2 linked regions of the Oryctolagus cuniculus genome follow. The protein of the gene in region 1 interacts with the protein of each later gene in a pairwise test. Links are inferred from orthologs where the notes say so. Each region holds a gene or a part of one and is shown on either strand. Other genes may lie near its edges. The genes, in order: USP20 and VAPB.

Region 1 (3,137 bases):
GAGAGGGGGAGGGCGGGGCTTGGGCGCCGGCTCTGACCCCTGGGAGCCGCAGAGGCGGGAACATCCCCGGAGGTCCCAGTAGGAGCAGCAGGGCCGAGCTCCGGCCTGGACGTGGTCGTCCTCGCCAGAGCGTGGCCTGGCAGGCTCGGCAGAGCCAGTGGGTCCCATGCTCAGGGCGCTTGTCCTCAGGAAGGGGCGGGCCCCCACTGCCGCCTGGGCCCGCTGGTCGGAGTGGGCAGCTTTGCCGGCTCCGCCGGGTGGGCGGGTGTGCCGTGGTTGGGAGCCGACGGCCAGAGTCCCGAGCCCGGCCCAGGTGTAGGTGCTGGCCTTGGCCTTCTCCAGCCGCGACCCGAGCCGGACACTTGCCGAGCCCACAGTCTGTCTCTGCACACAGCCCTCGTCTCCCGTGGCTGCTGGGGTTAAATGAGACCGAGGCGCTTGGGGAGGGGCCTGGGCTGGGGCCGCTGCCTGCCCGGGGAGGGCACTGCCTGCCCGGCCGGCTCCGCCCCCCATGCTGGAGTCCCAAACCTGCCGTGGTTCTAGCTGGCTCTGAGGGCGCCCCCGCTGAGTGCGGTGCGGAGCCTCCCTGGAGGGGCTCCCTGGAGGGGCTCCCTGGAGGGGCTCCGCCGCCTGGTGGGGGGGGCGGGGGGCGGGGCCTGGAGGCGCTGAGCCTGAGCCGTCTCTTCCAGAGCCCCCCGGGCCCATCGACAACAGCAGGATCGCGCAGACCAAAGGAGGCGGCCACGTGCAGCTGAAGCAGGGTACGCCCACGGCCGGCGCTGTGTTCTACCCCACCCCACCCCACCCATGCCCCCCGCTGCCCTGCCCCTCCTACCCCACCCTACCCATGGCCCCCCACTGCCCTGCCCCTCCTACCCCACCCCACCCTGCCCCCAGCCCCCTGCTGCCCTGCCCCATCCCCCTACCCCACAGCTCCGCTGCCCAGACCCGTCCTAACCCACCCCACTCCGCCCACGGCCCCCCGGTGCCTGGCCTTGTTCTCCTACCCCTCCACGCCCCCCCACCCCGTCTGGGAGCAGGGTCCCAAGCAGGTCCTCTGGGCCTCAGCTCTCTCCCCCACCTACCTCCTGCGCCCTCTGCCGGCCCGGCCTGGCCTGTGTGCCAGCCCCGCCCGCGGGCAGCAAGGGGCCGCAGCTGCAGACGGTGCTTGGGCTTCTCTGGCCGGGCCTGTGGCCTCCATGTGACCGTGCTGCACTTGAGCCCGTGCTGGGCCTCCCGCCCTCCTGAGCCCCCGGCCCCCGCCCAGGCCTGCCTCTCCCGCCCTGCAGGGGCTGACTATGGGCAGATCTCGGAGGAGACCTGGACCTACCTCAACAGCCTGTACGGAGGTGGCCCCGAGGTCGCCATCCGGCAGAGCGCGGCGCAGCCCCAGGACCCGGACGGCCTACACGGGGAGCAGAAGATCGAGGCCGAGACGCGCGCTGTGTGACGCGGCGGGCCGCCCCTAGGTCACCCTGCCGGGCCCCTCCCTCTCCCGACACCCTCTCGTGTCCCCGAGCTCGCCTCCCACCAGGCTGCTCGGCAGGATCCGCGTGCGGCCCCGGCTGAGCGCCCGGTGTTCCCGCAGGCCGCGTCTGCCCGCGTGCCGGGAGGGCGCCGCGGCCAGGGCTCTGCTTCACCGTGCGAGGCCAGGAAATAGACTCCCTGCAGGCTTGTTTAAGCGACCAGGACTCTGTGACCTTCATTTGACACCAGTCCCAGGCAGCCTTGTGTCCCCCGACCTGCCTCTCGCTAGATCGGGCCCAGCCTTTGTCCCTGGCACCTGACGCCGCCCCCGAGTCAGAGCCTGGGGCCGGGATGGAGCCTGCAGACGTCTTCCGCTGTGCACGGGGCGACGCGGGGAGCCGAGGCGCCGGAAGCCGCAGGTGGGCAGGGCTCCCTGTGCCTGCCCCTGCGGCCTCGCTCACCCCTGCATCTCGGTGTCTCCAGGAAGACCCCAGAGGCCGGCTGCTCCCAGGGTCTCTGTCCTGCAGACAGAGCTTGGACGTGAAGGGGGCGTGGGTTGGACCTCCCACGGTGGGGACGCCCTCCCCGGTCCTGCTGAGCCTGCCCTGCGACTTGCCCCGCTCCTGGGAGAGCCGGCCCGGCCCCGCCCCCAGGGCACCAATGACAAGCAGAAATACCTCAACGTGTCGTCACCTGCTGCCCTCGCGCGCTCGGCCAAGCCTGCCGGGAGCCGTGTCCTGGGGGAGCCGTGTCCTGGGGGAGCCGTGTCCTGGGGGAGCCGGCGAGGATGGGTCCTGAGACCAAGCCCCTCAGCCCGCTGTGGCCTGTCCTGGGGGAGCCGGCGAGGACGGGTCAGGAGGAGGGGTCCTGAGACCAAGCCCCCCAGCCCGCCGTGGCCTTCTCCGTGGAAGCGCCCCCAGGCAGTTGGAGAAGCCCTGAGCCCCCAGTGGGGCGGGGGTGGGGGGGGCGTCCTTCCCAGGGCCTGTTCCTTCCCCGGCCAGCAGGTGGCGTTGCTCGAAGGGCCCCGCCAGCGTTTCCCGTGTTGGAGCGCTGGGAGCCTGGGGTCGCCCCGCGGCCAGTCTGCGCCCAGGCTGTACAATAAACACAGATGCGTTCCCACGGCCCGCACCGCCGTCTGCGCTCACTGCCGCAGCGTCCGTCACGGGGGAGGCCCGCACAGGCCGAGGCTGGGCGAGGGAGGGGCCCCAGCATGGTTGTCTGAGATGGGGGGGGGGGCTCCAGCAGCGCCTCTGGAGGGCAGGGTGCCGCCTGTGGTCCTGCGTCCAGGGCCCACATCAGAGGCCCGGGGTTCGAGCCCTGGCTCCAGCTCCAGACCCCAGCCTCTGGGGGCAGCCAGGGGGCTCCTGCTCCCCCAGGGGAGACTGGATTCAGTTTCTGGTGCTGGGCTTCGGCCCGGCCCGGCCCGGGCAGGGGGGGTGAATGAGTAGACTGGCACACTCCTCTTTCTCTGGCTTCTCCAAAAAAATTCACAAGATGCCTGTGCAGGATGCGGCCGCCCCAGCGCAGCTTCCTGCGTCTGTTCTAACCCAGCGCGAGCGATCGACGCAATCGACCCTGGAGCGCGGTGCTGCCTGGCGCCGAGGCCTCGCGGGCTCTTCCCTTCTTCGCGGTCGGGAGGGGGCTGGGCGCACCGGAAATGGCACCGCTGG
Region 2 (3,803 bases), on another chromosome or scaffold:
GTGTGCCGGGTGCTTGTTCTGTCTGAGTGCTGCATGTATGTGGACGGTCACTCCACAGGCTCTGTGACTTTTATGAGTCCAAAAGAAATTTTAGACAAAATGTACTGCAGGAAATTTTGGAAATACACAAATGAACACAAACTGAAAGTGATTTGTGATTCCTTCACACTGGGTCAGAGCAAGCACTGCCTTGTGCTTTTCCTTATTTTTAAATGTTTTTATTTTGATGCACAGAAAGGTGAAAACACAGTGCACTGACCACTCCTTACAGCCGCTGCCTCGACTGACCCTTTGTTAGTATCCTGCCACCTTTGCTTCCTCTCTGTCATAGGCTTTCTTTTCTTTTTAGAAAAGATTGATTATTTGAGAGGCAGAGTGACAGGGACATACACACACGCGTGCACACGCACACACACGTGTGTGCACAGACATCTTCCTTCCCCCAGTTCCCTGTCCAAATGCCCACGACAGCCAAGGCTGGGCCAGGCTGGAGCCAGGAGCCTGGGCCTCTGTCCTGGCTCCCACAAGGAGGGGCCCAGGCACTTGGGCTGCCACTCGCTGCCTTCCCAGGAGCATTCGCAGGGAGCTGGGTCAGCAGGAGAGAAGCTAGAACGCCACCACCATTCTGAGTGGGACGTGGGCGTCCTGAGTGGCCTGCCCCTCTGCGCCTGAAGTTTCTGTCCTGTCGAGCCACTTGGGTGTAGAATGCAGACATCAGGACGCCACCCCTCCGTGCGGCCGTGCAAGAGCAGCTAGCTGCTTCCGTGGCCCAGCGGGGCTGTCCTCGCTGCGAGGAGGCGCCTCACTGAGCGTGATTACCTGGTAAACGGGGCCACAGTCAGCAGCATCGAGTTACGGCCAGAAACGGCCCTGGGCCCTTTCGGTTCCAGTGGAGGACCCCAGCCCACTTTGTTTCCCCTGCTCTCAGGCCGTCGGCATGCGGCCGCGTGGCTCGTCAGACGCCCGTGTCCCCGTGTCCCGTGCTCCTCCGCGACGTCCTCGTGACCAGTCGAGGCTGCATTGTTCTGGGCAGGAGTATCTGTGGGTGGTGGCACGTGGCCCTCACCCGAGGAGGCGTGTCGTGGCACTGGTGCTCCCTGCCGCGGTGCCTCTGGCACTGCCAGCCCCTGGTGTCAGTATTTGCCCCCGTGACTAATTGGTGATCCGTGATCCTCTGAGTCATCAGACACAGACCATGCGGCTGGCCAGCAGTCTGTCACCGGTGAGTCAGCGTCCGGCAGTGACCCCACGTGTGCTTAGGGTGCACACGCACTGTGCTGCGCGGTTTCTCCGCGCAGTGTTCCGGGACGCCCCCTGGAAGCTAGGGCTCTCCGGTGTCGGTGCCGTCGCCTGCCTGGCAGCCCTGCGGCATCACATTGGCAGCCGGTTCCCTGGTCGTGGTTCTCGGCACTGGTGTTGCCTGGGTGCCTCCTGGTGGTTGGGGGTGGGCGTGAGGGTCTGTCTCCTCTCTGTGTCATGGCCTTGCAGTTGTGCTGGCCTGTAACTCAGAACAGCGGTAAGCTGGGGCGTGACCCCCCCTCAGGCTGGTGGGAGTGGCGGGGGCCCTGCCGAAGCCGCTCCCCGACGTCTGTGCCAGCTGTCCCTGAAGGGCGTCCCCCGTGAGGAGACACTCACGTGCCCTGGTCGCCTGGACCCTGTGCTGGAGATCGGCCAGGGCTTAGCGGGCGGCAGTGTCCTGCAGCTGTGCCCCGAAGACCAGCCCGGGCTGCGCGGGCTGCAGTCAGGGGCGAGGCCTCGGGGGTGGAGTCCGTGTGCGGGGAAGCTGGCGCGTCTCATCTTCTCATCCTGTCGTGTTAAAAATGCTGAAGTGTCAGCAGACTCAGTTCTGTATTTGATACCATCAGGGCTGTCTCATTCAGTGTTTTTCTGAAATTGTCAGTTAGAGGAAGAAATTATTCTTCCAGCAGCTTTATAATGTCCTGATTATGAAATTTAAATTGTTTTAGTGGAAGGAGGCAAAACCGGAGGACCTTATGGATTCAAAACTTAGATGTGTGTTTGAATTGCCGGCAGACAATGATAAACCAGTAAGTATACCGATAGTTAATGGAAATTGAATGTTGCAAGCTGATGCTTATTTGCATACCATCTCCTGCAAAACCTCGATTTAAGTTGGCAAATTGTTTTCTTCCTCTAATGTATGAAGAAGAAAAAAATAAGCTGAGGTCAACAAACAAGTGGGCCTTTCGGAGAGCGGCCCCCGGCCGCGTGAAAGGGCAGCTGGTGGAGACAGTTTTCCCCTCGGGACTGCAGCCTGTTGGCTGGCTGCGGCAATGTCATAAATCCCTGAGTGCCCGTGTGGCTTGGCAGAGTTAGAGGTGGCGGTAAAACCGCAGACGAGACCCAGCCACGGGCCGCTTTCCCCGTTACCGTGGTCCTTGGCGGATGCTGTGCAGTGCCCAGGACCCCTGCCCAGTGCCGCCTCTCCAGCCCCTCGGCCCCGCTTGCCCTTTTCAGCCCCATCTGCTTCCACGTTAGGGTTCCTGGCCTCTCGCCGGTGACCGTGGGGATGCTGCACTTCCGGGCCGGGCTGGGGTGCCGTCCTGAGCGCTGAGGGATGTTCAGCAGCCTCCCTGGCCTCCACTCATTAAAGCCCGGCAGTGCCCGGCAGTGCCCGGCAGTGCCCCGTCGTGACAGCCAGGAGTGTCTCCAGACGTGCCCCAGGACGGTGATTTGCCCCTGGACCCGCAGAGCACTCGCGCGTGCCCCCACTCCAGCCCTGTCCTCGGTGAGCTCAGGAGGGGCCACAGCCCTTCCCAGCAGGGCGTTGCTGGGGCTCAGCCTCTGCAGATGCCAGCCTTGTTCCACCCTCTCCCTGGGCTCCACCCCTGCCCGCTGGGCCTGGGGGTGTGCAGCTCCTGTGGCTCAGGCTTCGGAGCTTGCACAGTCACCCTGTGCTAATTTTTGCACGACAGGATTTGATGGTGCAAAATCCACAGCCCTTCTCTCTCTCTTTGCGGTATTGGTCTCAGCCAAACTCCATGGTGTGTCCTTGTCCATGATTGCTAGGGCCCTGTTGCTTTCGACTGTGAAGTTACTAGACACAGTGATCCGTTTTAGAACCAAGCGTGACAGTTCACGGTGTGGATGAAACGCTGCTGCGGGTGGTGTTTCCTGAGAAGTGTAAAAACGTCCTCTATTACCTGGTTGGTGACACATGGGCTTTTGTTTATTTCTGAACAGCATGATGTAGAAATGAATAAAATCATATCCTCCGCTGCTGCGTCAAAGACAGAGACGCCAGCAGCGTCTAAATCCCTGACCTCTTCTGTGGACGACGCCGAGGTGAAGAAGGTTATGGAGGAGTGTAAGAGGCTGCGAGGCGAAGTCCAGAGGCTGCAGGAGGAGAACAGGCAGTTCAAGGTACCGCTTCCCCCGACGGTCTGCGAGGGGAGGGCACAGGGCCTGGCTGCCAGATGAGGCTCCCTGGTTTTGCCTTTTGTCCATTTTAACTCGGGGGGCGGGGGGCAGGTTTCCTGGCTTCCTCAGGATCTCAGAAGGATCTGGAACTCCCCCTCGCGTGAAGAACCACTGTCCCCTCAGCAGAAGGTTCTCGACTGTTTAAAAGCTGCTTTAGGAAAAACTGAAAGTAAAATTGGAGGCTAAAAGTAAGACGCCATTGGTCATTTCGAATGCTTCCCGGGCCCCGCTGCCCCTCAGTCGCTGGGGTGGAGACCACTCTGACTGTCCTCTGCTGCTTTCCAAGCTGAAGACGGCGAGGGGAGCGAGCTGCAGGCTGCTGGCTCATTCCCCGCGTGCCCGAGACAGCTGGGGCAGAGCTG

The links.
Region 2: the proteins of USP20 (region 1) and VAPB interact in binary tests that used the Homo sapiens proteins (3 or more experiments, as listed by UniProt). The two-hybrid records come from large-scale screens. The link is inferred for Oryctolagus cuniculus from reciprocal best matches to the Homo sapiens genes USP20 and VAPB.

What each region holds. Positions count from the first base shown.
Region 1 is NC_091432.1:232,706,723-232,709,859, forward strand, and holds the end of USP20 (ubiquitin carboxyl-terminal hydrolase 20), read left to right. Parts: intron 1-689; coding exon 690-761; intron 762-1,289; coding exon 1,290-1,450; 3' UTR 1,451-2,589; downstream 2,590-3,137.
Region 2 is NC_091442.1:3,750,908-3,754,710, reverse strand, and holds part of VAPB (vesicle-associated membrane protein-associated protein B/C), read left to right. Parts: intron 1-1,967; coding exon 1,968-2,048; intron 2,049-3,204; coding exon 3,205-3,384; intron 3,385-3,803. UniProt on the Homo sapiens protein: Endoplasmic reticulum (ER)-anchored protein that mediates the formation of contact sites between the ER and endosomes via interaction with FFAT motif-containing proteins such as STARD3 or WDR44.